4 linked regions of the Caenorhabditis elegans genome follow. The protein of the gene in region 4 purifies or fractionates together with the protein of the main gene of each other region. This does not show direct contact. Each region holds a gene or a part of one and is shown on either strand. Other genes may lie near its edges.

Evidence for each region.
Region 1: the proteins of T23G7.3 (region 4) and xpo-1 fractionate together in Caenorhabditis elegans (co-fractionation; one large-scale study listed by BioGRID). This does not show direct contact.
Region 2: the proteins of T23G7.3 (region 4) and dnj-11 fractionate together in Caenorhabditis elegans (co-fractionation; one large-scale study listed by BioGRID). This does not show direct contact.
Region 3: the proteins of T23G7.3 (region 4) and npp-20 fractionate together in Caenorhabditis elegans (co-fractionation; one large-scale study listed by BioGRID). This does not show direct contact.

What each region holds. Positions count from the first base shown.
Region 1 is NC_003283.11:7,801,677-7,808,762, forward strand, and holds the start of xpo-1 (Importin N-terminal domain-containing protein), read left to right. Parts: upstream 1-3,387; 5' UTR 3,388-3,615; intron 3,616-3,666; 5' UTR 3,667-3,685; coding exon 3,686-4,206; intron 4,207-4,257; coding exon 4,258-5,815; intron 5,816-5,861; coding exon 5,862-5,977; intron 5,978-6,027; coding exon 6,028-6,298; intron 6,299-6,446; coding exon 6,447-6,687; intron 6,688-6,690; exon of another isoform or gene 6,691-6,742; coding exon of another isoform or gene 6,743-6,896; intron 6,897-6,942; coding exon of another isoform or gene 6,943-7,086. Other genes in the region: uvs-1 (UV-stimulated scaffold protein A homolog), read right to left, coding at 1-209, 260-397, 449-880, 969-1,261, 1,311-1,583, 1,633-1,731, 1,780-1,902, 1,947-2,009; ZK742.3 (NADH:flavin oxidoreductase/NADH oxidase N-terminal domain-containing protein), read right to left, coding at 6,743-6,896, 6,943-7,086.
Region 2 is NC_003282.8:6,583,154-6,589,998, reverse strand, and holds dnj-11 (DnaJ homolog subfamily C member 2), read right to left. Parts: upstream 4,129-6,845; coding exon 4,045-4,128; intron 3,993-4,044; coding exon 3,716-3,992; intron 3,671-3,715; coding exon 3,135-3,670; intron 3,081-3,134; coding exon 2,943-3,080; intron 2,887-2,942; coding exon 2,524-2,886; intron 2,474-2,523; coding exon 2,102-2,473; 3' UTR 1,813-2,101; downstream 1-1,812. Other genes in the region: lec-11 (Galectin), read left to right, coding at 1-24, 511-709, 1,310-1,445, 1,514-1,764; F38A5.2 (TraB domain-containing protein), read left to right, coding at 4,599-4,694, 4,746-4,791, 4,863-5,090, 5,146-5,444, 5,500-5,625, 5,670-5,807, 5,853-6,167, 6,216-6,325.
Region 3 is NC_003282.8:1,489,311-1,498,899, reverse strand, and holds npp-20 (Protein SEC13 homolog), read left to right. Parts: upstream 1-2,877; 5' UTR 2,878-2,892; coding exon 2,893-2,940; intron 2,941-3,009; coding exon 3,010-3,084; intron 3,085-3,173; coding exon 3,174-3,295; intron 3,296-3,955; coding exon 3,956-4,270; intron 4,271-6,585; coding exon 6,586-6,856; intron 6,857-7,951; coding exon 7,952-8,062; 3' UTR 8,063-8,247; downstream 8,248-9,589. Other genes in the region: Y77E11A.16 (Serpentine Receptor, class D (Delta)), read right to left, coding at 9,138-9,306.
Region 4 is NC_003280.10:9,164,107-9,170,336, reverse strand, and holds T23G7.3 (G-patch domain-containing protein), read left to right. Parts: upstream 1-2,506; 5' UTR 2,507-2,536; coding exon 2,537-2,619; intron 2,620-2,665; coding exon 2,666-2,968; intron 2,969-3,017; coding exon 3,018-3,525; intron 3,526-4,142; coding exon 4,143-4,268; 3' UTR 4,269-4,408; downstream 4,409-6,230. Other genes in the region: Transcription factor dpl-1, read right to left, coding at 1-325, 372-380; T23G7.2 (Calcineurin-like phosphoesterase domain-containing protein), read left to right, coding at 945-1,037, 1,088-1,192, 1,243-1,331, 1,384-1,668, 1,715-1,834, 1,890-2,295; W07A12.8 (DapB_N domain-containing protein), read left to right, coding at 4,634-4,660, 4,761-4,963, 6,109-6,203.

The sequences.
Region 1 (7,086 bases), on a different chromosome or scaffold from region 4:
TTCTAACATCTTCCGAGGCAGTTGTATCCACGTCGTGCTTCTTTCGCCGTTTCGTTTTTGATTCGTATTCCTTTTCGATCATCTGCCGGATCTTGTCTGCTTCCTTCAGATGGTTTTGCTCTTTTCTGTAATTTTCTTCAAGCCGATCCTCCTCGTTAATGGGTCTCCCCTCGTCATCGCGATCTACAATTTTTCCATGAAGAGGGCATCTGAAAAGAAATTTCTGTTATTTTATTGTTACTAGAAACTAGAGAATTACGTGTAATAGTCTTTTCTCGGACAAAGCTTTCCACTCTTCATCTTTGCCAAACAGACTTTCCGATTGTCTGGAGCTTTTCCAATAAACGTATATTGTCGTTGAGTGTAGATGCTTTGTTGTGCTTTCCCAGCAACAGTTCTAAAAAAAGAATTTGATTCAAAGTTTACAAAGCATGAACTGCAATATTACCCTTCATCGGCCGACCTCCAGAATCTATGGCAATCTGCATTGTTTTTCGGAACTTCAACATCTTTTCTCTCCTCTCCCCAGTATTTTAGGTCAAGCCCGAATGGTACCGTCTTGATTTTTACAGGTTTCTCGTTTTTCATTTCAATTTTGTGTTTTTCGGGGCTTTCAGTGATTTTTTCCGATTCATCTTTCGATTTGACATCTACCTCCAACTTTTCAGCATATTGAACCATAAGTATGTCATCGATCGAAATATCCACGTCGATAAAATCGTCATCAGACTTTTTTCGTTTATTCTTTGGAGGTCGTGGATTTATAATTCTCAACTCATCGGCTTTCAGCACTAAATTCTTGATACCATCTCTATAATCTATAATTTCTTGGGCAAGTTTTTCTCCAGGTTGTTTTAACAGTTGTAGTCGTTTTACTAGTCTGAAAGAAAAATTATTTCAATTTTGAATGAGGTTTCGAATTTTAATATAACATTTGTTTAGTTTTTATTTTAATTTCAAATACTTACTTTCGGAGCGTCTGAACTCGATGAATCAACGAAAGTTTTGCACCAAGAAACGCCTCAACAATAGCATCATTTTCCGAGGAAACAGAGATTTCTGGAGTCAAATCCGGAATGAAAATCTCGAAACTTTTTGAGTCCGAAATTGCAGAAGGTGTTGAAGTTGATGTGCTGGGAACTTCAGGATCTGCTGTAGTGAATGATGGAACAAGCATTTGCATTGTAGTTGTGAGTTCCATTGACAGTGTCTCCGCATCGTTTTTTATCTCGTGGTATTTTGAAGAATAGACGTTGACTGACTGGAAAGTTTTAACATTTCTTTAAATATGTGTTAAATATCCAACCTACATTCTCAATCATTTTCATTTTTCTTTCTTCCAAAATCTTTTTTCGTTTTCTTTCCGCTTCAATTTTCTTAGCTCCATTTTCATAGTCTACAAATTTTGTCTTCTTCAACGTCACCACCAAACATTTCATTCTTGCATCGTTCTTCACACACTTCTCCTTTTCCCAGCTTTTAATCACTGTTATCGCTTCGACTTTCAGCTCATTTCCATGTTTTTTCGAACCAGGGAGTGGGTTACGAATTGGGTTTGTTTCGAACATTAATTCGAGAAATTCCTAGAGAAATTTAATTTTTTAGTTTAATTTAAGCTTTCACAAAACTCACTGATGGATCATTGAGTAGATTTTCCCGAAATATTGGAAATTGTAAGAAGAAGCTATTGAACAGTTGCAGAATTAGTTTCCTATCGGGACATCCTGATCTCTTAAAATGTTTTAATTAATTAATTCTAATGTTAATCTTGAATCTTACGCTTGTAGTATCCAGCAATACTTCTATCACATTCTCGCAGCCTTCTTCGTCCTGATTTGCCACTTCTTTTTGCAAATTTTGATATGGTATTGATTCAAAGTCCAACTTTCCATCATCTGTCAGCTGAAAACTTTCGCATAATTTTGTTTTTTAGTTCCAAAACTCACTTCTCGTATGAATCGGTTCAAATTCTTCCTTATTATTGTTGTGGAGTTGTCAATTGAATCCATAAAACTGCAGTACTGAAAACAAAAACAAAAATAATGTTTTCTATCATAATCTTAAAGGCGCATGCAAAGAAAACCGTTCACAGGTCTCGAAGCGAAATAGGTGATACGGTTGTTTTTTTCAAATATTCCTCACTTTTGGTTGCCTTCTTTTCAACATTTTATTTGTTTCCCGATAAGTTTAGACGCCAATTTTTATTTCAAGGGAAATAATTTTATTTAGCGAAAATTATCAACATTTTTTCTTGCTTTGTTCTCAAGTTTGGCTTCATTTTTCTTCTGAAAATCACAAGAACGATGAAAACAACAGCGTATAAACATGAATTTAATTTCGCAATCAAATTATTTTCGAAATAATTCGTTAAGATGTACTTAAAAATTTAACAGCACATTTTATTTTTGTGAATATCTACTTTCGAAAAGTAAGTAAAATACATTTTACTCGTTGTTTCCGTTCTCACCAAACACAGAAATATCAGGTCCGCGAGTACCCAACAGCCGCGAAAGTTTTTGTCAAATGCGCTCCATCGTACTCTTTTGCGTCTGCGATGAATTCGAACAGGAAAGGCCGCGAGGAGACTTTCCCCGCGCGCGCCGGCGCGTGTCTTGTGATAAAAACTGGGATGGCCGCTGAGCATGAATCCGACGATTTCTCCCACTTCTTCCGTTTTTTGTCTCTCACACGTAAAATCTGCTTCACCGCTGTTTTTTTTCCGTTCTCATAGCAAATAATAGGTGTGTAGTGTGTCACGTGCGGCGATTTTGTTGCTTCTATTTTCATTCAATCTTTCTCATTTCGACATTTTCGACGCGCGTCTCGGCCAAAAATATTCAGAATGGTCCTTCCGTTTCTCAATTTCTTCTCCTGTCTTCATGTATCTGCAAACAAGTAAACATGCGAAAAAAAATCACATGACCCCTCCTCAATAGCTCCTACGCTTTGTTTTCAATGTTTTCCGAACGTAAAGAGAGGGCGCAAGTCATGCACATCACGTGACAAGACAAAGCGGGACGGGTGCACTCATCGAGGTGTCCTCAATCGATTTTTTACCGTTGCTTACAATAACATCGCGCGCTCTGTCCCAATTCAGCAAGGTCGCACACAATATTTTTCGCAGTGAGATTTGTTTGGCCGAACTTTTGCATTCAGCATTTCTCACTTCCTAGTCTTGAATAGATCCTTATCAATCCAGTAATTTCGAAACATTTGACTGTCAAAAGTGACGATGATGAAAGAAATATCTCTCGTCTTCTCCCATCTCCAATTTCCGTTTCTGAATTTATTTCTGTCAAACTTTAGGTCAATATTTTTTCCCTCTCTTGACATATATTTTCTACACCTTTTGGTTTGCAAATTTAAAAATAATTTTCTTATTTTCAGAACTGGGCTAGATCGATCGTCCCATCGTCAACAGTCGGTTGTGTGAGAGAGCGTGAGAGTGTGTGTGCGAGTGAAACGATATTTTGGCCTAATTTTCCAGCTTCACTGTGAGAAACACAGGATTTCTGCCCGAAAAGCGAGAGCCTGAACCCCGCCAGTTTTGTGTGTGCGTGAGTGTGTGAGACTGAACTGGAAACTACTGCCGATTTTTGCGAAATTTGATCGCTGGTAAGTTATTTTATATTTATAGTGTTGGTCAATAAATGCTATCAATTTCAGAAACCGACAATAAAAAAACATGGCTGTCTCAGCAATGGAAGTGCTCTCTGAAGCGAAGCGTCAATTCGCCCAAGGTGACCGTATCGATGTGACTCTTTTGGATCAAGTCGTCGAGATTATGAATCGAATGAGCGGAAAAGAACAGGCCGAGGCTAACCAAATCCTCATGTCGCTCAAGGAAGAACGCGATTCGTGGACCAAAGTCGATGCGATTCTTCAATATTCGCAGCTAAATGAGTCCAAGTATTTTGCACTTCAAATCCTTGAGACTGTCATCCAACACAAATGGAAGTCGTTGCCACAAGTCCAACGTGAAGGAATCAAGTCGTACATCATCACCAAAATGTTCGAATTGTCTTCTGATCAGAGTGTCATGGAACAAAGTCAACTGCTTCTTCACAAGTTGAACCTCGTTTTGGTTCAAATTGTCAAACAAGATTGGCCAAAGGCATGGCCAACATTCATCACCGATATTGTTGATTCATCGAAGAACAACGAGACCGTTTGCATCAACAATATGAATATTCTGAGCTTGTTGAGGTATTTTGAATTAGTTTTAAAATGTTTTGCTACATTTATTATATTTTTCAGCGAAGAAGTATTTGATTTCGGATCCCAAAACCTCACCCAAGCCAAGGAACAACATCTGAAACAACAATTCTGTGGACAGTTCCAAGAAGTATTCACACTGTGTGTCAGCATTCTCGAGAAATGTCCATCCAACTCTATGGTTCAAGCTACCTTGAAGACTCTTCAACGATTCCTCACCTGGATTCCAGTTGGCTACGTTTTCGAGACAAACATCACGGAATTGCTGTCTGAAAACTTCCTTTCGCTTGAAGTGTATCGTGTCATCGCTCTTCAATGTCTCACGGAAATTTCACAAATTCAAGTTGAAACCAACGATCCCAGCTACGACGAAAAGCTTGTCAAAATGTTCTGCTCTACAATGCGCCACATTAGCCAAGTTCTATCTTTGGACCTCGACCTGGCTGCTGTCTACAAAGATGCTTCCGATCAGGATCAGAAACTCATCAGTAGTCTGGCTCAATTTCTTGTCGCGTTCATCAAAGAGCACGTTCATCTGATTGAAGTAACTGATGAGCCATTAACTGAGGCTAAAATTTTAATGCGAGAATCTCACGACTATGCTATTCAACTTCTTTTGAAAATCACTTTGATCGAAGAAATGGAGGTTTTCAAAGTTTGCCTCGATTGTTGGTGCTGGTTGACTGCTGAGCTCTACCGTATATGTCCATTCATTCAGCCAAGTACTCTTTACGGAATGATGAGTCAGGTTCGTGAGCATCCACGTCGTCAACTCTACCGTGAATACCTCTCGCAACTTCGTTCAACAATGATTTCTCGAATGGCAAAGCCAGAAGAGGTGTTGATTGTGGAAAATGATCAAGGAGAAGTTGTTCGTGAAATGGTCAAAGATACTGATTCGATTGCTTTGTACCGTAACATGCGTGAAACGCTTGTCTATTTGACTCATCTTGACAACAAGGACACTGAAGTGAAGATGACTGAAAAGTTGGCATCACAAGTGAACGGAGGAGAGTTTTCGTGGAAGAATTTGAATCGTTTGTGCTGGGCTGTTGGTTCGATTTCTGGAACGATGGTTGAAGAAGACGAAAAGCGATTCCTTGTTCTTGTTATTCGTGATTTACTCGGGCTCTGTGAACAGAAACGTGGAAAGGACAATAAGGCAGTGATTGCGTCAAACATCATGTATGTTGTCGGACAGTACCCGAGATTCCTTCGAGCTCACTGGAAGTTCCTGAAGACGGTTATCAATAAGCTTTTCGAGTTCATGCACGAGACTCATGAAGGTGTACAGGACATGGCTTGTGATACATTCATCAAGATTTCCATAAAATGTAAGAGGCATTTCGTCATCGTCCAACCAGCTGAGAATAAGCCTTTCGTCGAAGAGATGCTCGAAAATTTGACTGGAATCATCTGCGATCTTTCTCATGCACAAGTTCACGTATTCTACGAGGCTGTTGGACACATCATTTCTGCGCAGATAGATGGAAATCTGCAAGAAGACCTGATCATGAAGCTTATGGATATCCCAAATCGCACATGGAACGACATCATTGCAGCAGCATCCACTAACGACAGTGTGCTCGAAGAGCCGGAGGTAATTTATTTTAAGGGGTTGGCTTTTATATTTATTCAAATTTCAGATGGTCAAATCTGTCCTGAATATACTAAAAACAAATGTGGCCGCCTGCAAATCCATTGGATCTTCGTTTGTAACCCAACTCGGAAATATCTACAGTGATCTTCTATCCCTCTACAAGTGAGAATTAAAAAAAAAAGAAGTTCTGTTAGTAAACCTAATTTTTTTAGAATTCTATCCGAGAAGGTGTCCCGAGCAGTGACAACCGCCGGCGAAGAGGCTTTGAAGAATCCATTGGTAAAGACGATGCGAGCTGTGAAGCGAGAGATTCTCATCCTTCTATCGACATTCATTTCAAAGAACGGAGATGCCAAGCTCATTCTGGACAGTATAGTTCCACCATTGTTCGATGCGGTTCTCTTCGATTACCAGAAGAATGTGCCACAGGCGAGAGAGCCGAAAGTGTTGTCTTTGCTCAGCATTCTGGTCACACAACTTGGAGTCAGTTATCTTTTGAAATTTTGAAAAAATTAAAATAAAATAAAAATAATTTAGGGCTTGAAGAAAAATTTTCAAATTCGTCTCAACTCTTAACTTTTAAATTTCGAAAATTTCTCAAAAATTATAACTTTATCAAATTATTTTTCAGTCTCTCCTCTGTCCACAAGTGCCGAGCATCCTCAGTGCGGTTTTCCAATGCAGCATTGACATGATCAACAAGGATATGGAAGCGTTCCCCGAGCATCGAACCAACTTCTTCGAGCTGGTGCTTTCTTTGGTTCAAGAGTGCTTCCCGGTTTTCATGGAAATGCCTCCAGAGGATCTTGGAACAGTCATCGACGCCGTCGTTTGGGCATTCCAACACACAATGCGCAATGTTGCGGAAATTGGTTAGTTCGAAAGCATTTATTTATTAAAATTGACAAAAAATAGTTTACTAAATTATTAGGTAGATTTGTTCAATGGAACGTATTTAATTACTCCAGCAAATCGATCGTATCCTCCAATTGGTTCCAGCTCTGTTTTGTAGGCTCCACAAGCCTTTTTGAAATTGTTAGCTTCATCTTCCACTGTAAAATCCGTAACTGTTGTTGAAGTGCTGTAATAAGTAGGCTCAAAGACTCAAATTGAGAAAAAATGCTCACCTGTTTTGTGAATCGTACATATGCTCTGACATCTGCTTTATATGAAAATGAGCCGCATGCTTAGCGATTAAAAATTCACTTGGAGCAAACTTCAGATCAGGACACGAGAAAATCTCTCCAGCTATCAGTTTTCTTGGGAAATCG
Region 2 (6,845 bases), on a different chromosome or scaffold from region 4:
AGAAGTATTTCAAGGTCCACAGGGGTTAGTCAAATTCAAAAATTAATTATTTTAGAATCAGGGTAATTTGTTTTAATTACCATATTCCAAATTTTTCGAGTTTCACGGGTGTGCACCTTTAAAGAGTACGGTAATTTTCAATGATTTCTGAACCCATTTTCGAATAAAAACGTATTTTTCCTTTTGAAAAACTTTAATACTAAAACAGTTTGAGATCACGGGAGAGGGGTTATTAAGGAACCACCATTTCATGAGAATGCCTACTTTCTGGCGCGAAAATAGCGACAGCAGAGAGAGTGAAGAGAGTGCCTTCGCTACGAGATATTCCCGCACCAAAACGGTAGGCATTCTCATGATCTGATGGTTTCGTAATAGAAGTTACAGTAATCTTCAAAGGCACTCGTTTCCATTTAACAAAATATCGTCGTGGCGAGACCTGAAGCCGTATTTTAAGAAAAGAAATCACGACATTTTGCACTTGAGTAATAGATAACCTTTTCAATATTACAGAGGATTCACAGTCGAATTTCCCACCAAAAATGGAGTTGCTCTTCATATATCGGTTCGAATGGGTTCATATGGTCAAAATGTGATTGTATTTAATCATTTACAAAGAGGAAGATGGCATCGAGAAGAACATCATCAGAATACAATCATGTTTGGCCGACCATTTTGTATGAGAATTCATAATGAGCACAGAAAATATTCGGTTGGTTCTTCTATTGTTCTGTAATCCACAGGGTCTCATTTGAGGCAAACTCGGCCGTGTGGATTTACGAGATGGTCTCAAAAACGTTCAAAAACTCTCCCGGCTTCTCATCCATGTTCGAGTAATAACGTCGATCAGAGCCATATTCAGTAGACGTTTAAAAATGAGAATTTCGCCACATCTTACACGCAGGGGTCTCGCCACGCGAAGTGACTGTATATCGTGTCGAGCTGCTCGTAAATTGACACGAGCTACAGTAACTCGGTTTCAGCGTGGCGAGACCCATGCGCGTAAAATATGATGAAATTCGCAACTGTAGATGCCTACGTAATAAAACAAATTTAGAAGTTCTAAGTAGATTTTCTTTTTCGTAAATATTGTGAATACATATTACCTTTTTGCGTAAAAAAACAATTTTCAACCCAAAATCAAGATATCGGGTCCTGAAACTTCTCAGCTACCGTACCCACGAGTGTGAAAGACTTTATGTTAAAACCTAATTTCTCTAATTATTTGAGTTTAGAATATCAGATTATTGAACACAGATAGTTTTTTTTTATTCAAACAATATTCTCGTAAAAACAATCAATTTAATTCCAGATCCACGTGGACGGACATCACATCGGACATTATCATCATCATAAATGCCCAAAACGAATCGTTGCAATGACTGTTCGAGGAGATCTTCGAGTTGGAAAAATTCATTTCGAAAACTTCAAACATCATAACGGAGGAGGTTGGTTTTTATCTTAATATTCTGGGGATTTTTTTTTGTTTTTTGATTTCCAATCTTAATAATTCTAGGTACTGAAATCGGTGTAATGCAAATGCCTGTTGCTCCAACTCCGATCGTTGTTGCTCAACCACCGCCTCCAATGATTGTTCCCCAACCACAGATTGTTCCGGTTGTTCAGCAAATTATGCAACCAATGGTTCAACCCATATATCCAAGTGTTCAACCAATCGTGTATCCAACTGCTACTCCAATCATCTATACTCAACCTGAAGTTATCTACATGGACGGTTATCATCACCACCGTCACCATCACTATTGAAATTTGTACTTATTGTGAAAATGAATGAATAAATGAACATGACAAATTGATAGGGACGCACCGTTCATCTAATGTTCATAACTGAGACATGAATATTGAGCACTGCAGAAAAAGTTTGATGACAGAAACAAAAAAAAAAGTACATAGTACTACTGAATTTGAGTTGGTCAAGAGTCAAGAATGATTAAGGCTTTCAAGAATAAATGAATAAATGAAGAAAAAACAATATAACGAGCTAAAATGTGATGGGAACGGAAACAAGAGTTATGGAGGAGAAACAAGAAATAATATGAAGGGATGAGGAAGATTTAGAGAAGATATTACTTGGACTAGAAGATCATTTCTTATTTTTAACCATTTGAACGAGATACTTGAAACGACGAATGCAGGCTTTTTTGGACTTTGTGCCAACTTCTGTTGAGATCTTTTCCCACCGCTCGGGATCACTTGACTTATGCTTCTTGATAGCGTCCTCTAAAGTTTTCTGTTCGGTTGCTGACCAGACATCCTCATCTGGTAGCGCAGTTCCTAGCTGATTTTGAGTAGTTGATGGTAGCTTGACGTTCATCGTTTGAACAGCTTTGCATTGCTTGATAACCTGTTTTTCAGTTTTTGGTGGTAAACCCGTAGAATCCTTGCGATGCTCGTTAATGTAATCGGCAATTTGAACCCATCTCTCCACGGTTCCAGGTGGGAATGTGTTTGAAGCCTTTAAAAATATGAAAATTAATTAATGATTTCCAATCGTTTATGTCTTACCTTAACCAATAATTGAATCTCTTCACTAGTCCATGTCTCCTTGTCGGCTTGCTTTTCATTTTCTTTGTTCTTATCCTCAGTGATTGTGACCTTTGCTCCAGCAGCTTCTTTCTTCAGAATTTCAGCATCTGTTAGCGCAGTTTGAATTTCAGAAGCAATTGAAAGTGATTCGACCTTCTCGCACAGCTCTCTGAGTTGATCAACAGTGAACCCAATGCAAATCCGCTCAATTCTTTCCATTTCAGTGAGCTTATCGCGAGGATTCTCCGTCCAGTGGCCAGCTTCATCAGCGAGTTTCTTCAGACGCTTACGCTGCTGAGACATAGCTTTCTTGGCAATATCACGCTCTTTCTTTTCTCTCTCCTGAAAATAATAGTTAGTATTTAAAAATCGACAATATTCTGGTGTATTGTGCTCACTCTTTCTTCCTTTGCTTTTCTGTCAGCTTCCTCTTTCTGCTTAGCTTCGGCTTCTTCCTTTTCACGCTTCTCACGGTCGATAGCTTCTTGCTTTTCACGGATGGCTCTTTGCTTATCTTCCTTTGCTTTATCTTTTTTCTAAAATTTAAAATTGAAAATCCGGCAAAGTTTAGGCAAAGTTTATAGACTTACCGCTTGCTGTTCCTTCTTGAACTTGATAATTCTAGGATCCTTAGCATAAGCTATATCAACCAACTTTCTAATTCTCTTCGCCTCTTCTTTCCGCCGTCTTTCTCTTTCTGCCTTATTCTGTTTCTCCATCTCTCGTCTTTCGTACCGATCTTCTCCTCTTTCCTTGTCTTCTTCGTCCAAATACGAGAACTCGCGCCATGACTGGAAGTTAAACCAAAAATCGTAGAAATTCTCGACATCCTCCCGGGTCGCATCTGATTTACCAAGTTCTGGCACTGGCTTGATATTGGACCATCTGGAGTTTAATTGGAAAACTGGAGCAAGTTCGTTATAAAAGTTATTATGGTTGATTGATTTCTCATTTGGAATAATATCGTTGAATTTATGATCGACCGAATCGAAAGCTTGACGTTTGACGTCAGACATTCCAACTTGTTCATAAGCTTTTGTGATACAAGTAAAGTATTCTTCCTTCTCCATAACAATTCCACGATGCTTCTTCTTGTCCGGGTGATGCTTCAAAACCTTTTGACGATCTGAAATAATTCTCTTCAAAAAATTCTCACTTCATTTTAACTTACAACAGAAACGAATTTCGTCAGATGTAGCTTGCCATCTGAGCTTCGACAATCCTAAAACTTTGTAGTGATCCTGATTTTTGCAGTCATTTGGATCCAGCTTCATCAAGTACTTTTCATATTTTTCATTATCAGCATCAAAAAGATCTTTTCTCAATTCAGCTGGCTCTTCAGACGACTTTTTTCTTTGCTGTTCCGTAACAGGCTTTGCAACAGGAGAGTTTTTATAGATTGGAAGCGTACAGTGGCCCAGTGTGAGTTTATCTCGAATAAGGCGAGTCTGAAAATGTCAGTTAAGAAATATTTGCGGACATAGGTGATAGTAAACTCACTTCATAGCATATTCCGGCTGGCTCAAAAGCTCTGCTTCGAGCTGTGAATCCATAAATTGCAACTTGTAAATTGCCCGTAGTCATCTATAATTATTAAATTATTTTGAGCCTACTTTAGTCCTAAAACGAAATAAAAGAACATAATCAGCCTAGAAATTTCTGTTTTCTTTTTAAATCGCGTGACCACAGTTGTTCATAAAAGATTTTCAGCAACGAAAGAGAAGAAAAAGGGACATAATCTGAGAAATAAAGCTGAAAAACTACTGAAAATAATTGCGGGGGATTTACGAAAGAAGAAATCGTGCCATGGTTGCAAAATGTCGAGTGCGGCGCGGTTTTAACCGAGTCACAACATAAATTATGGAGACGGAGACACAATGCAAACGCGCTTCGCTGGTCTTTTTTGTTTTTTTTTCTTGTAACTTAAAATGGAAACCTGGAGTGATTTGGATTCATTTTAATTGTTTTTCAGCTTTGTAAGCTCCGCTTTGTACGCGATTGTATGAAATAAAACATGTTATAATTTCAAGTTATATCCAAAATAAGGTTTTCAGATGTCAGAGTCATCGTCAAACTTGAATCCAGATGGAACTGAGTTTCCAGACCCTAATGACGTGCCACCACCATCGGAAGATCAATTGACTGAAGAGGTATGCTGAAATATTACATTTGTAAAAATTATTAACAATCTCCATGTTCAGGATCTATTCCGGATGCGTTCTCTGACAATCAATTCGAAAAAAGGACGTAAGTTTTTTTTCATCGCTTGAAGTTGTTTGGAAAGATAATTATTTTTAAAATATTTAATATTTTTTTAGTTTCAGTTGTTGGTGGTGCAAGTGAGACAGCCGAGCAGTCCATCATATCACTCGCAGATTCGACTTCAAATTTTGATGAGCATGTTGGAGATGATGCCGAGTTGGATTATGAGCTGGAACAAGCTCCTGAAGCAACAGAAGATGGTGCAGTGGTGAACAATCCTGTTTGTGGAGGGTACCATTTCGGAAGGAAAAGAGCAGATGACTTCGTCCCAAATGCCAATACAGGTTTCTTAAAACTCCAGTTCGATGTAACACTGATATCTATATTCTATAATTACAGTAACAGTGCTCAAATGGCCTACAAATCTGGCGATTCCTCCACGCAACCCCGTGCTGAGCGATTCTGATGAAGAATGGAAGAAAGCGATTCTCGACTCCACCATTTATCTCATCGGTACAGCTCACTTTTCAAAAGAGTCGCAGGAAGACGTATCCAACACAATTCGTGCTGTGCAACCTGATTTTGTCATGCTTGAGCTGTGTCCATCACGAATTTCAATCATATCGATGGATGAGGCTCGGCTTTTGAGCGAAGCGAAAGATCTCAACTCTCAAAAAATTATTCAGACCATGAAACAAGTGAGTTCTCATATTTTTGTTGTTGTAATGTTGTAATATTTTCAACTTTTTTAAGAACGGCGCGATTCAAGGAATTCTGCACGTTCTTCTCCTGTCAATGTCAGCGCATGTAACACGTGAACTTTCCATGGCTCCCGGAGGAGAATTCCGTGCTGCTCATCGTGCAGCAGTTGCAACTGAGGTTTGAGTATTTAAAAAGTTTTATTTACAAAGTAACTATTTCAGAATTGTCGTGTAGTTCTCGGTGATCGTCCTATTCAAGTTACACTTCAACGTGCACTGGCTTCTCTCTCCATCTGGCAAAAAATTCGCTTCTTCTTCCACGTTGCATTTTCACATCGTGAGAAGATAACTGCAGAAGAGGTATTTAATTATTCAACCTTTTCCAAAAATATTCCAAAATTATAGGTGGAACGATGCAAGCAACGTGACCTTCTGGAGCAACTTCTCGCCGAGATGGCTGATGATTTCCCACAACTATCCCAAATCTTTGTGGAAGAGCGTGATGCCTACATGACGCATGCTTTGCATATGCTCGTACACCGGAACTCAGTCGAAAAACGTGCACAATGGCTTCGTGGAACAACTGGGCAACAATTTCAACCGTTGACAGTTGTTGCTGTCGTTGGAATCGGACATACTCCAGGAATTGTTAACAAATGGAATACAAATATTGATTTTGATCCACTTATGAACATCCCACCACCAAGCCTCGGAACAAAGGTAAATTAATCTGAAGTTATTTTAATTCTTTCATTTCTTTATTTCCAGGTTTTCTCCACTGGCGTCCGTATTGTTGTCTGGGGATCTTTGGGATATTTGGCTTATCGTGGAGGACGTGCTATCTTCAATCGTGTTAGCACATTCATAGAGTCTCGTTGGTAGGTTGGAAATTTTTGTTTAAAATTTAGTTTTGGGAATGTTGAAATTAAACGATGAAATTAAACGTGAATTTTGCAAAATCAAGGTCGCACAGAGAGAGGCAGCGCGTAGTTTTGCAAGCCTGTGGCATTGTTTTCCACCGTTTTTTGGTGGTTTTTTTTCGATAAGTTCTCAATTTTACTGGTTTCACTATTTTTTCTAATGAAAATGTTACCTAATTCAATTCTCATACGATTATGAGGAAATTTCATGTTAGATTTGTTGTAAAAACGAAGTATTCTCACAATCTTATGGGAATTGAATTAGATACATAATATTTTTATTCAAAAAAAAAGAAGGAAAAACCGTACCACAGGGATGAGAAATTACGCGAATTACCAACTCCCCATTCAAAGAATGAAATAATAGCAAACCTAATCTCATTTTCGTGCTTCTCCCGTCTTCTCTCGTTATTAGCTTTTCTGGTATCACCTGCTCCGCACAAGTTACCCATGACAACCAACCCACTAACTCGTATAT
Region 3 (9,589 bases), on a different chromosome or scaffold from region 4:
TTTTCACGATTTTCTGTGGAAAAAATTGTTTTCTGAGATTTCCGAAGCTTCTGTTTAAAAAAAAATAATTTTCGTGAAAATATTGATATTTTTGAGTTTTTGCAAAAAAATCGTTAAAAAATTATAAAAATAGCGTGTTTTCAAGATTTCCGGTGCGAAAAAACAATTTTTTAAAAAGAAAAACGTTCAAAATTTGAAAAATGCCTATTTTTCACTGCAACTTTTTCCTCACGAGGGACGAGGAAAAGTGGTTTCTAGGCCATGGCCGAGGGGCCGACAAGTTTCAGCGGCCATTTATCTTGCTTTGTTTTCCGCCTGTTTTCTTTCGTTTTTCATCGATTTTTTTCGTTTTTTCTTAATAAAACTGATAAATAAATATTTTTTGCAGATGCTAAAACAATTTCCATGTAAAAAAATTATGTATTCAGTGGGCAAGCAGCGATGAAAGTGGTCAATGTAAAATAATGGATTACGGGAATACAAAACCTAAACTTTTTCTGAAACATGATACATATGATGCTTAGATGCTGAAATTACCTGATTTTCATAACGAGACCGCTGAAAAAGTTTTGAGGTTTCCACAATTCAACTTTTTTGGTAAAAAAGTCGAGATTTTCGCACAAAAAATTGAATTTTGAAAACCTCAAAACTTTTTCAGCGGTCTCGTTATGAAAATCAGGTAATTTCAGCATTTAAGCAGCATATGTATCATGTTTCAGAAAAAGTTTAGGTTTTGTATTCCCGTAATCCATCATATTGCATTGCCCACTTTCACCGCTACTTGCCGACTGAATACACAATTTTTTAACTTGGAAATTGTTTTAGCATCTGCAAAAAATATTTATTTATCAGTTTTAATAAGAAAAAAACGGGAAAAATCTGTGAAAAAATAAAAGAAAACAGGCGGAAAACAAAGCAAGATAAATGACCGCTGAAACTTGTCGGCCCCTACCACTATTCCTCGTCCCTCGTGAGGAAAAAGTTGCAGTGTTTTTCGGTTAAAAACCTCGAATTTCCGAGATTTGTCGATTTTCTTCGGAAAAACTATGTACTTTAACAAATTTACAGGGATTTTTTTGGAAAATTTCTGGAATTTTCCAACTTTCTCGCAAAAAATTTAAAATTATCGATTTTTTGATAATTTATCTATCAAATCAAGTGGCAGAAAGGAGAAAAACAATAAAAAGGGCAGTCCGCACGTGCAGAATTGAAGAGAAAGAGGACCTCAGCCAGGGTGAGAGAGTGTAGAGGGTGTGGAGACGCAGACACTGAAAGAAGGGGGTTCAGAGATGTGGAGAGTGCAGAGATGTTGGTGTGATGAAGACTTGGCAGTGTGCCAAATGATATTTTTTATGGAATATGATGCAATTGTGCTCTGTTGATAATTTTTGGGGTGGCAGGATTCTTTTGGGGGAAATTATTGATTTTTTTTTTCTTTAAATTTGATTTTTCTATAAAAAAAATTGGATTTTCTATAAGAATTTAGATAAATAATAGTTTTCTTATATTTGCTTTAATGATTTTTCGGCACAAATAACAGATTTTTTCAAAAAAAAATTTTTTTTTACTTTTTGGGGATTTTTATCGGAAATTTGAAAAAAACTGAAACTTACGATTTTGATGCTTCTTGAAACTATTATTTTTCGAAACTTTTTTCAAAAAAATTCTGGAAATTATTGATTTTTGTCCTAAAAATTTTTAAAACCCCGAAATTCTATCGAAAAATAATTCAACATTTTTAGATTTTGCGTGAAAACTCTGTTAGAATATCGACTTTTCTGTCAATTTTCAATTTTTTTCCGCAAAAACTGCCAGAATTTCCTCAAATAGTTCATTTTCGATTGAATTTCCAAATTAATCCGAAAAATCGATAATTTTTTGATTTTTAACTGGATTTTTCGATAGAAACGTTAACTTTGCTGACTTTCTAAAATTTTTACAAAAAAAAACATTTTAAAAAACGTTGGAAAACACATAAAATTCGAGTTTTTCGGCTGGAAATTGGGGAAAACACAAAAAAAAACAAAATGTTCTACAGTAACCTTGAAACTGCGCGTCGGGTTAGATGCATTGATACGCAATTGCGTACAATGCATTTTACTTGCCGCGCACACTTTTTGGAATTATTTTCAGCAAAAATTGCAATTTTTCAAGTATTTCAGCGAAGAAATTGAAAAAAATAAGATAATTGCAAAAATACAAGCGGGTTTTAAAGTTTTCTTTTTAAAAATCTCAAGTTTCTCAATAAAAATATAGAAAACATGTTTTAAAACAGGAATAAGCGAAAAACTATTATAATTTATTGATTTTCGCCTCCAAATCACGCTAGAAAATCAAACTGATGATCATGACAGAAAGAAATGATCGTAAAAATTGCGCTGACGACGTCACGCGACCCGCAATAAGACACACGGAGGCTAAGCACAAAATATAATGTGTTTTTTTTTCATTTGAATCTTTTTTTCAGACTTCAAAGTACGGCGTGTTGATATTGATGATCAGAAGAAAAAATCAAAACAGAAGAAAAAACAAGGACAATATAATTAAGAAAGTTGTTTTTCAGAACTTTGATCTTTTAATCTGTGTTGAAAGGTTCCCTGAGTTGTTTTTGATTTAAAATCTTAAAAAGTAGAACTAGAAATTGTTATTTTTATCAAATTATCAACAATTTCCCATTCGAATTCTCCAGGTTTCCATCAATTATTATTTTCTCGTGATTAAATCCACGTTCCTTGGCGCACGAGAAACACGCCAGCTATCGTTTGCTGGCGCGTTTCTCGTGTTGACGCGTTTCTCGATCGTTCCAACTTGCAATTTTTAAATTCAATTTTTGCCGAAATTCACTCAATTTTTAGCGATTTTTTTCGAAATTTCTAGATTTTCAGCTGAAAAATGACCACGGTCCGCCAGAGAATCGATACACAACATCGTGACGCAATTGTAAGTCGGAAAATCTGAATTTTAGCTAAGAAAATCTATTTTTTTTTTTTAAATTCTGAAAAATTGCAGCACGACGCTCAGCTCAACATCTACGGAAGCCGACTCGCCACGTGTGGATCTGACCGTCTTGTGAAGATTTTTGAGGTCAGGAAAGGCGAAAAATCTTGGATTTTCTGCAAAAATCCCAGAATTTTCATAATTTCAACGCAAAAAAAAATATAAAAATATTACAGGTTCGCCCAAATGGCCAGTCATATCCGATGGCGGAGCTTGTCGGACACAGTGGTCCCGTTTGGAAAGTCTCATGGGCTCATCCGAAATATGGAGGACTTCTTGCCTCCGCTTCCTATGATAAGTACGGAATATTTGGAAAAAAAAACGGAAAAATGATCAAAATTTGCTAGATTCGATCAGAATTTCATAAAAATACGCTAAAATCTCTGTTTTTAATCGGTTTTCAGCTCATTTTTTGGGTTTTTTGCCAAAAATTGGTTAAACAGAGTGATTTTGGAAGAAAATGGACACAAATATTGAAAAATGCAGCCTATTTCTGAAATTTCAATGAGTTTGATCATTTTTCACCGATTTTACGCTATTTTCCCTTTAAATTCACGGATTATTTAAAGAAAAATCAGTATTTTCGGTCAATTTTCACAGTTTTTTTTTGAATTTCAAGCCTAATTTCCCTCAAATCCACCAAAATTTTAAAAACTTCAACGGGTTTTATGAAATTTTTACCGATTTTCTGCAATTTTTTCCCGAATTTTAGTCGATTTCTGCCCCGATTTTTGTAATTTTTATCGATTTTATTCAATTTTCATAGTTTTTTTTTCGGAATTTTGAGCCAATTTACCCCCCAATCCAACGTTTTTTTCTGGAATTTCCATGAATTTCAGTAGTTTTTCACGGGTTTTTTGCAATTTTTAGCTCATTTTGCTCTAATTTCAGGCATTTTTCATCAATTTTCACAGATTTTCAGCCAATTTTCCCCCAAATGAATCGATTTTCTTTCCAGAAAAGTGATAATCTGGAACGAACAACAAGGCCGCTGGCAAAAAGCCTACGAATGGGCCGCTCATGAGGCCAGTACGACTTGTGTGGCCTTTGCACCACACCAATATGGCCTAATGTTGGCTTCTGCCTCTGCTGACGGTGATATCGGTATTCTTCGATACGACAATTCGAGCAACGAATGGATTTCGTCGAAAATTCAGAAATGTCATGAACAAGGAGTTAATTCAGTGTGTTGGGCACCTGGAAGTGCTGATCCGGCGGCAAAAAAACGTCTTGTTTCAGCTGGAAATGATAAAAATGTCAAGATTTGGGCTTTGTGAGTAGAGAAAATGCACTGAAAATCGATTTTTTAGATTTTTTAGATTTTTTTTGACCCGAAAAACGTGAAATTTTGACGTTTTTTCGATGGAAAATACAAAAACCGCAATTTTCTCAGGTTCTCAAAAGTCAGATTTTTTGTAAGCCTAAGCCTAAGCTTAAGCCTACGCCTACGCCTAGGCCTAAGCCTCAAATTGCCAAAACTTCTCGGAAAAAAAGTCGTAAAATTTTACTTTTTTTTCAGCAAAATTGGCAGATTTTATGAAATTTTCCCAAAAAAGTTGTATTTTTGATCCAAAATTTGTTTAAAAATCACAAATTAGTGCAGTTCTTACCGGAAATTTTTGAAAAATTCAAATTTTTCCCTCAAAATTACCTGATTTTTTGCTAAAATCACAAGAATTTCTGAGATTTTTCCCCTGAAAAAGTCAGTTTTTCTGGGATGAAAAAATTCGCAAAATAAAAATTAAATTCGGATTTTTTTTAAGGCCTAAGCCTTAGCCTAAGCCTGAATTCCAGAATTAAAAAAAATTTCCTTCTGAAAAATCAATGAAAAAATTGTTTTTTTTTCTGAAATTCTCAAAATTTACAATGTTAAAGTTAAAAATTCGACCCAATAGCGTATTTTTTCACCGAAAATTCTCAAATTTCTTAAATTTTCACCTGAAAAATCCCATTATTTTGCCAGTGACGACGCGAAAAACGAGAAAAAATGGAAATTTTTCGCCAAAGTTCCAGATTTTTCTAGAGTTTCCTTTGAAAAATCCTTTTTTTTGACAATTTTTCCGTGAAATAACCCATTTTTTCACAGTTTTCCATCAAAAAAGACTAAAAATCCGACCATTTAATAAATTTCTTTCTAAAAAATTGTAAAAGTAAAAGCGAATTCTACCCGAATTTCAGATTATCGTGTTAAATTCAAAATTTCCAGGTTTTGGATATTTTTTAACAGATATTTGTCGAATTTCCTGGATTTTCCCCCTGAAACATCCAATTTTTCGGTTTTTTGATTAAAAAAAAACTGAAAAAATCACTCAAAAAATAATTTAAACTTGAAAATTTGTCCCAAAAGCTGTTTTTTTTGCAAAAAATTCTCAAATTCCAGATTTTTCGCAGTTTCATTTCAAAAAACCCCCAAAATCGGAAATTTTTATTAATCTTTTTTGCTGAAAAATCAGAAAAAAAGTATATTCTTTCGAAATTTTTGTCGAATTTCCTGAATTTCCTCTTGAAAAATCCATTTTTTGACAATTTTTCCGCGAAATTACCCATTTTTTTACAGTGACGACGCGCTACAAACAAAATTGTTGGTGAAAATTCGAAAAAAAAAAAAAAATTTCCCCATTATAATGCAGAAATTTGGGTTCGCTTTGGAAAATCCCAATTTTGAAGCTGCCCAAAAGCTGATTTCCCACTGAATTTTGTCGAATTTATTGGGGTTTCTCACTGCAACTTTTTCCTCACGAGGGACGAGGAAAAGTGGTTTCTAGGCCATGGCCGAGGGGCCGACAAGTTTCAGCGGCCATTTATCTTGCTTTGTTTTCCGCCTGTTTTCTTTTGTTTTTCATCGATTTTTTTCGTTTTTTCTTATTAAAACTGATAAATAAATATTTTTTGCAGATGCTAAAACGATTTCCAAGTAAAAAAAAAATGTATTCAGTGGGCAAGCAGCGGTGAAAGTGGGCAATGTAAAATGATGGATTACGGGAATACAAAACCTAAACTTTTTCTGAAACATGATACATATGATGCTTAGATGCTGAAATTACCTGATTTTCATAACGAGACCGTTAAAAAAGTTTTGAGGTTTTCAAAATTCAATTTTTTGTGCGAAAATCTCGACTTTTTTACCAAAAAAGTTGAATTGTGGAAACCTCAAAACTTTTTCAGCGGACTCGTTATGAAAATCAGGTAGTCTCAGCATTTAAGCAGCATATGTATCATGTTTCAGAAAAAGTTTAGGTTTTGTATTCCCGTAATCCATCATTTTACATTGCCCACTTTCACCGCTGCTTGCCCACTGGATACATAATTTTTTAACTTGGAAATTGTTTTAGCATCTGCAAAAAATATTTATTTATCAGTTTTAATAAGAAAAAACGGGAAAAAGCTGTGAAAAACAAAAGAAAACACGCGGAAAACAAAGCAAGATAAATGGCCGCTGAAACTTGTCGGCCCCTCGGCCATGGCCTAGAAACCACTTTTCCTCGTCCCTCGTGAGGAAAAAGTTGCAGTGTTATTGGGGTTTCCTAAGAAAAATTCATTTTCTTAATGACAATTTTCCTTCGAAATCACCAATATTTTTTCCTCCAGTGACGACGCTACAAACGAATGGATTCTCGAGAAAACCCTAGCCGGACACACAGATTTTGTACGTGAAGCCGCATGGTGCCCGGTAACAAATAATGGACAACATACAATTGTTAGCTGTGGAATGGAGGGAAATTTGGTACTTTTCCGTACTTCAAATATTGAAACTGAAGAGTGGAAGGCGAAATTATTGGAGACGGCTCCGTGTGCATTGTACCATTCATCATTTTCTCCGTGTGGATCATTCCTTTCAGTTGCTGGCGATGATAATGTGGTATGGAATCGAGGATTTTTGTGTGGAATAATGTGGAAATTGGCACCGAAATTGGGAAAATTATGGATTTTTTACGTCAAAAATGGCACAATTTTTGAAAAAAAAAAGTGTACAAAAACAGCGAAAATCATCGCTTCAAAAACGGAAAATTGTCACATTTTTAGCAAAAATCGCTGAAATTTTGGATTTTTTAGCTCAAAATTATGATTTTTCGAGCAAAACCTAGAAAATTCGAAAAAATTTGGAAAAAATAGCGAAAAAAAAAAGCATTTTGGCATTAAAAAAAACGGAAAAAAATCTTACCTACCTCTAGCCGCAGTAGGCATGAGGCAGGTGGCAGGTTTTTGTGAGGAAAATTTTGATTTTTTTTTTTTTTTTTTTTTTGGTTTTAATACAACTTCTATCTTTTTTGCCCGGTTTTTCGTAATTTTAGGAAGAATTTTTCAGAATTTTCGTTGAAATTCGATTTTTTCAGGTGATTTTGATCGAAAAATGCTAAAAATATTAATTTTCGAGCAAAACCTGGAAAATTCAAAATTTTGGAAAAAAAAATCTATTGAGAACTGGCAAAAAAGTGGGAAAACAAAAAATTTTTTTTACCGGAAAATTGGCCAAAATCACTTCAAAATCAATTTTTTTTACATAAAAACCGGCGAATTTCGGTTGAAAAGTATCGATTTTTGAGCAGCACATGAAAATTTCAATTTTTATGAAAAATTTGAGAAAAAGCTACCGAAAACTTGCAAAAAAAGCATTTTGGCACGAAAAATCTGAATAAATGGAAAAAAAATACTCAAAAATTCAGAATTTGCAGTAATTTTACTGAAAATGGCGAAAAATTCGAATTTTCCGATCAAATCACCGGAATTAATTGAATTTCAACGAAAATTCTGAAAAATTCGACCTAGAATTACGAAAAACCAGACGAAATGTTCCCGCCTGCCTAATGCCTACACGTGTGCCTACCGTGCCTACAGGTAGGTAGGCAAATCTTCTTAAAAAAGTGCCGTTTCTACAAAAAAAAGCATATGATAAGCTCTGTTTGCAGGCAGGCAGGCACCTACGCCTAAAAACGCTCATTTTCCAATTTTGCAGATCACAATTTGGCGCGAAAATCTTCAGGGACAATGGATCAAAGTGCCACGTGACAATAAGGAACGCGAGGGAATGAGCCAAGCGGTCGGAGCTCCGGGAGCTCAGAGATAAATAAATTATTTATTTTTTTTCGCTGTTTCTACACCCATAATTCCTCTTAAAACTTGTATATGTACCTGTTATTATTGATTTTTTTCCTCATTTACTTCTCCGAATCCAGATATTTTATGATTTTCCTTCTTTTTCTCTCTCAAAAAACTAATGCGAAACCGGGATGAAGTTTTATTTATTTATTGATTTTTTTCGACTAAATTCAGATTTTCTCTTATTTTTGAAAAATTGGTCGCAGTAGCGCAGTCGGTTACGGGCTGGGCTGGGACGCAGAAGACCGGGGTTCGACTCCGCGTGGTGGGAATTTTCTTTATCTTAGCGTGATTGATACTGTTAACAAGCTGAAACTGAGTATAACCTGCTGGAAACTAGTGAAACTTGAAAAAAATCAGTTTTTTTTCGGAAAAATGCGGAACAGTTTTTGAAAACATGATTTTTACAAATTTCCATGCACATGTTCAAATTTCTCGCACAATTTTCGTTTATTTGACACCAATATTGGCTCATTTCCGAGGATTTTTCGAAAAATTGGTTGCAGTAGCGCAGGCGGCAACGGGCTGGGCTGGGACGCAGAAGACCGGGGTTCGACCCCGCGTGCTGGGAATAATTTTTTTCTTGGTTGATACTATTATCTAGCGGAAGTTGACCGAAATTTGTTAGAAATTAGAAATAATCTCGAATAGTTTGGGTTTTGTGTCATTTTTTTGCGGAAAAATGTCCAAAAAGTAAATGAAAATGTGATTTTCATGAATTTTCATTCAAATTTTTGAATTTCTCGCTTAATTTTTAGATAATTTGATGCCAATATCGGGTCATTTTTGAAAAATGGGACGTGGTGGCTCAACTGGGTAGAGGTCTCGGTGAGACTGAGAAGACCGGGGTTCGACCCACGGGGGCGGTTTTCAACTTTATCAGTTTGCCTTAATAGGTTTTATTGTTCTTTTTTGAAGTTGAAACTCAAAATTTCAAAAAAAATTTTTTTGAAAAAGTACAAAAAAATTTCGACTTTTTTAATTTTTATTTTCAAATTTTATTATTTATTAAAACATTAAAAAAAGGGTTAATTAAGAAAAAATCAATCATATCTCGTCGACGAGTATCGCGTCTCGCGTTCCCCATATACAGTAGTCAGAGATTTCGTAGGAATTGGCCGGACCATCCAGCGGCAGAATAGACGTCGGAAACCATGGTTATACGGTTTTATGTAGTATATTGTGATAATTGGTTGGATAAGGGGGATTACGCTGAAAATTGGAGCAATTTTGAATTTTGAAATTTTGAAAAAAAATTGAAAAAAATTCTAATTTTTTTTTCTAAATTTTTCTAAAAATGTTGATTTTTAGCAATTTCCAACCTTAAATTCAAATTCAGCACAACGAGAGCTTTCATTTAAGTATAATCACGCCTAGGTTCCCTTCACTTTGGGTCTCGCAGCGAAAATCTACAGTACCCTTTGCATTTTCGCTGTGGGACCCAAAGTGAAGGAAACCTAGTCATGATTATACTTAAATTGAAGCTCTTAGCTAG
Region 4 (6,230 bases):
TCTGCTTGATAAGATTATTTTGAAAGTAATCTGCTACCAGTTCATCAGCCACTTCATTGTAATTCGTCAATCCTTTTTCTTTCACCTTTTCACAAACTTTCGTGGAAAAATGTCTGAGTCCGGTTGGTTTGTCAGATTGTTGACCTCCTGCTCCACTAGATCCTCCAACTCCCGAAGGTTCATCCCAGCCCACAGGTTCATTGTGACTCTCATCTTGGTATGAACGAGGAAGACCTGTAGGCATTTGAACAATTCGTCTTCCCATACTCAGGGATACTTGTGGTCGACTTTGTGCCGGTTGGCCGATACGGGGATCGTAGTTTGTCTGCAAATGTTAGTTTAATATAATATCGATTTCTTATTTTACAAACCGGGTTCATTTCTACAGGACCTGCCTGGACGAATCAAGATTTTCGATTGCTTAGATCTGTAAATGATGACTTTGATTACGAGAAAAGCTACGAAAAGTGTTAATTATAAGAATAATGAATGATATTTTGTTGCCATCGTAAAAAACTGATTCTTTTCTGTTCTAAATCTAAATTTTATCGGTTTTTAAGAACGCTGCAATACAAACGTTAACCAGAACAATTTTTGATCAATACGTGAGAGAAATCAATAATATTCGGAAGATGGAGGAAAACAGAAAAAACCCAAATTTGAAGACGCGCCGTGCGTTGCGAGACCCATCAATGACGATAAACAACGCGAGAGGTGTCAAGGCGGAGTGTTGTTGCTGAACAAAATTTTCTTTTTTTTTCGTTCGACACTGAAATTTCAACAAATTGCAATATTCTTGTTGGAAAAAGTTAGCAAAACAAGAATTTGCTTTTAAATAAAAATTTATTTTGTTTTCCTGCTACGATTTCAAAGACCATAACTATTTTTCTCTTCAAATCGATTAAATCTTCTTCTCACCAAAAACTGACCTATTCTCATTTCAGACAATCCGGAAACGATGCTCGGATGGCCTTATTATTTTCCTAGTTCTCGGACAAGCGATTTATTTTATGTATTATGCCCCAGCATTTCTCCAGGTTTGTTTTTAGAAATTGTGTTGCTGTTAAAAGAGTCTCTTGCATTTCAGTGGCTTCTCTTCGATCTCACCTCAATCTGCGCGGGAATATGGACTAACATGATTGCATTCGTATGTGGATTTGGGATTGTTAATTTCTATGCTGGAAAAATGAAGGTAATATTAATTTCAATAATATTTAAATTATTTTAAAAAAATTTTCTCAGATGTTCCATTACACCGCTTCGATTTTGGAAATAATAGGAAAGGTTCCTTATTTTAACGATCTCATGTGGAAAAGAAGATCTCAAATAAAGTAACAAAAAACATCTCATTTCGGAACTTATCATTAAAAATGTTATTTTCAGATTCACAATGATAATCACCTTGCTTCTGTCAGTCAGTATGTTTATATCACGCGATTGGATTGTTGTCAAAGAAAAGACCATCAAAATAAAAAACTTCACTGCTGATGGAAATCGATTAAAATTGGCAGTGATCTCTGATTTGCACGCTGGTGCAAGTGTTTATTCGGAACAAATCAATCAAGTTGTCGAAAAAGTGCTTGAAAATCCAGTTGATGCTATTCTGATTGTTGGAGATATGGTAGATGCTCCTGTTGCGGAAATCGAGGATAGAGTTCGACCAATTCTGTAGGCGAATTAGTTTGATTCACAAAATTTCAATTTTTGTTTTCAGTCAACTCCCTGCTCACGCACCTACTTATTTCGTAACTGGCAATCATGAATATTATTATGGAGACGTTCAGGAATGGATAAGATTCTACAAAAATGGCCGTATTAATGTTCTTGAAAACGAGTAAGTTTTACAAAGTTTTTGAGTTTTTCTTGGAAGTAACAGTGATATTTTTCAGAAGTACAATGCTGAAAGGAGTCTGTTTGGCTGGAGTAAACGATATTTCAAGTCCGAAATCTGGAATCTTGAACACTAAAATGGATCTACCAAAAGCCATCCATCGATGTCCATCAAATACTTCTCAAATCGTCATGGCACACAATCCGGCATCAATTCGAGAATTCATCGTAGATCATCCGAAAGAATTATCAGAAATTGATATTGTCTTATCTGGACACACTCATGCAGGACAATTCTACGTAGTTATTCCAGTAGTTTATTGGCTTCTACCATACTTTTATGGACTCTATGAGATTCCATTTGGAGGTCAATTGATGGTAATGGCAGGATCATTGTATCAAGGACCACCCATGAAAATGATTGGAATGAGCGAAGTTTGGGTGTTGGAATTACTGGGAGAATAATGTGTTGTAAAATGTAAAATTCTCATTAAAACGGTTCGATGACTATTTTCTGTATGATTTCGTTGTAATTTATTTGATCTGTCTGTCTGAAATAAAAGTGTCTTCTTTGCTCCAATTTATTTTAACATTATTGATTTTACCAGTGTTCGGAACACTGTAATATTTTATTTATACAATCATTCTAATTATATTTCAATTCCTGTGATTTTAGGGTTTATCGACGCTTCAATTCTTTTGGAAAATGTCGATTTTGGCAGAGCCGAAGAGAAAACAAAAAATTAGTATTGATCCCCAAAATTTGACATGGAAAAATGACGATCAGAAGTAAGTTTTCTCCTATCAATAATCAGGTTTCATCAACATTTTACAGACTGTCAAAAAAGCTTATGGAGAAAATGGGATGGTCCGAAGGAGATGGCCTGGGAAGAAATCGTCAAGGAAACGCAGACTCTGTGAAGCTCAAGGCAAATACTTCTGGAAGAGGACTTGGTGCTGACAAAATGGCTGATTATGATTCTACATGGATTTCTCATCACGACGATTTCGCCGATCTTTTGGCAGCTTTGAACAAAAATAAAGAACAGGAACCAGAACAAACGGAAGAAGAAAAGAATGCAGCTGCGGAGAAGATTTCCATTGAATTGAAAAGCAAATCGATTAGGAGAAGAATTCAGTAAGTTTGAAACATCATTTTAAAAAAGTATAAGTATATCAATTTTTAGTTATCAAAAATTCACTCGCGCCAAGGATACAAGTAACTACAGCGATAGCCACAAAAAAGGAATTCTTGGATATGGAAGACTCAAATCTGACAATGCCGAAGAGAAAATCGAAGAAAAAACTGAAAATTCATCTGTAAAATCTGATAGTTCTGATAGCCAAGCTGACAGTCAAGAGAAAAAGGAGGGAAATAACACTGTCAGCACCCTATCCGTCGGTGACTATTTCGCTGCAAAAATGGCTGCTTTGAAGGCAAAACGGGAGGCTGCAGCTGCTAATCAGACAGAAGTGAAAATGGAAATAAAGACTGAAGTGGAGGAAGAAGAATCGGATGAAGAAAAAGCTCGTCGAAAAGCCGAAAAAAAGGAGAGAAAACGATTGAGACGAGAACAAAGAGATAAGGAAGAAACTCTGGAAACAGTTGAAACTATTCTGGAAGTAAAACAAGAAGTTAAGGAAGAAATTATTGATGAAGAGTTTGATGAAGCTGAACGTAAACGACTGAAAAAGGTAGATAAGCTATTTTTAGAAATATGGTTGACAGCAAGGGTGTCGTTTTTCGATTTTTTCGATTTTTCGATTATTTCGAGGGAAAATCGAAAAACGAAAATGTTCGATGTTTCGATTTTCTGAAAAATCTTAAAGTCGAAAAAAATGTTCAGAAAATTAATCATAAAATAAGATTTAAAAAATCTAATTTAGCTTATATTGATGAAGGAACGTAAAAATTTCTTTAAAAAATAAGGAAATGACCAAAATTTTAAGCTAATTTTTTTTTAATTGAAAATTTTTTCGAAATATCGAAAAATCGAAAAAAAAACGAAAATTTCGATTTTTTGTTACATACTTTGAGTAAGTCACAAAAAATCGAAAAACCGACACCCGTGGTCGACAGTATCTAGTGCTAAACATCAAATACCTGACTTTATTCTTGCACAAAAAATATTTTGATTCCCTGAATTCGATTAACTTTTTTCAAAAAGTTTATCAATTTATTATCATAGCTTCAAATTGAGTGATAATATTATAAACATGCCCATTACCGAAAGTGTCATCTTGACAAGGTTGCACTTTTATCAAAATTGTCAAAATTATTTGAATAAACCTCAAATTGACACATGTTCCAGGAAAAGAAACGTCTGAAGCGACTCCGCGAGCAGCAACAACCGGAAAATGAAGGAGCTGAAGGTGGGGAGGCAGATGAAGAAGAAATTCCAAGAAAAAGAAAGAAGCACACCGAAGATGAGCACTAACTTCCATACCGACTAAATTGCCAAATTTTTTGTTTTCAATTTCTATTGTTACTGTTTTCCGTTTTATTGTTGTACTACTCGTATACTCTGTTTCTTTTTTCCTTCTGCTACACTTGATAGATAAAACAAACGTTTTCTTGGCTTGTGCTCCCGTTTTCTTGTTGCACGAAAATAATTAGCTTGCTGCTCTTTCTGAAATTGACTCCTTCGGGAGTGGGAGTAATGAATAGAAAGAGGAAGGAGGAGCTGCAAAAGCAGAAGAAGAAGAAGAAAATGAAATTGAAATTGAAATTGGATTAGTTGTGAAGAAGCAGATTCGCCGAATTTGAACAAAACGTAAAAGTCTGCAGCTGCAACACTAAAAAATGTTAGCTGTTCGAATTTCTAAAAGGGTAAGTTGGATTTTGAATTTAAAATTTAGATATCTGTCAAAGTTTTAGAGTTTTATTATGATATTGTAAGTGAATTTTTAAAAAACGTTACCAATTCCAGATGGTAGGTAACCTCTACATCGGAGCAAATGTTAAACAAAGAGCACAACTTGGAGAAAACTATTTAGAGGGAACAAATGTGGTAGCAGTTCATGGATTCAAGCAAATAGGGCTTGTTGCTCAGATATTAAAGGATCATGGTGCAAATGTAGAGGAGTTCATGTGTGATTTGAAACACTCCTCGGAGATTTCAAAAGCGGTTAGGTAAGATATCAAATTAAGAAAATCGATTTTTTTCTAAATCTGACAAAGACGTTTTTTGGGCAAATACTGTTTAACTACGAATTCCGCATTCAGATATTTCACTGCGTTGATCTTTTACGTGTTTTGGAAAGTCGGTGACTACAGAGATCTTGTTTTTTGGAAAACGGATCAATAATCTTATGAAAAGAATACTGATAGTGAGAAATTATAGGGATTAGTAACGGTAAGTACCGAGGCACGAAGTCAGAGTTGGTTCGGTTATCCTTCAGTGGGGCACTGACTGGTGGTTCAACTCCTTCAGTGTGGGGAGTTGTCCACACACCGGGGTGATAAGGGATACCCGCCGTATGGCAAAATCCCGAAATTTTTAGTTCACCAGCCTTAACACCCTGGTGACGGTCCTATGGGGGTGCCGGCCGAAAGGCAAAACTCACATTTCGGGGGCCATTGTGGACTGACTACGATCTATCTAGCGATCCCTATTCATGATTACAGCAGAATAGAAAAAAACCGGCAAATACTTTTAATGTTTCTGGATTTTTTACCAGAGAGCAAGAGATCATATCGTGTTTTTTTTAAATATCTAGAGTCAAATGTTCATAAGTTCTGATCATTTCATAGTGAATAAATTTCTAGAAATATAATCTGAAAACTCTTACTACCACAATATTACTACAGTACCCAATGGTATCCCTTCACCAACTCCAACTCGATATCCCATCAATAGAAAACAACGGAAATTTACTAGAACTACTTGAGAACAAACTACAATCGTGACCTATATATTTTCAAAAATTAAATTCATACATTTGTTCATATCTAGAATATAGTATGAAGATTAATTTTTAATTCGTAGTACAAAATCAGGTGTTTTTTCTGCATTTTAGGCTATTTTTATTGTATTTTATGCCTAAAAATGAAAATAGTATTAAAATAAACACATGTGAAACTTAAATTTGAATAATTCAATGTTTTGAGTATTCTAAAAAAATCCGGGTAGAAAAGGAATTGTACCAAAAATTGTACCGAGGATATCATTGGAAATCGTGCAAACATTTCAATCTAGCAGCTTTTTTTTATTGTCATATTCCTTGAATCCAAACAAGTTTTATGAAATAATCAAAATTTCTGAAATACGATTACAGAGAATCTGATATTCTCCTCGATGGTGTTCAGAAAGGAGGAGAGATTGAAGAGGCTGCAGCTTCGAATTCACGTTTGATTGTAGCTGAATGTGATTGTGAGTTTTAAGATTTCAGTATTGAAT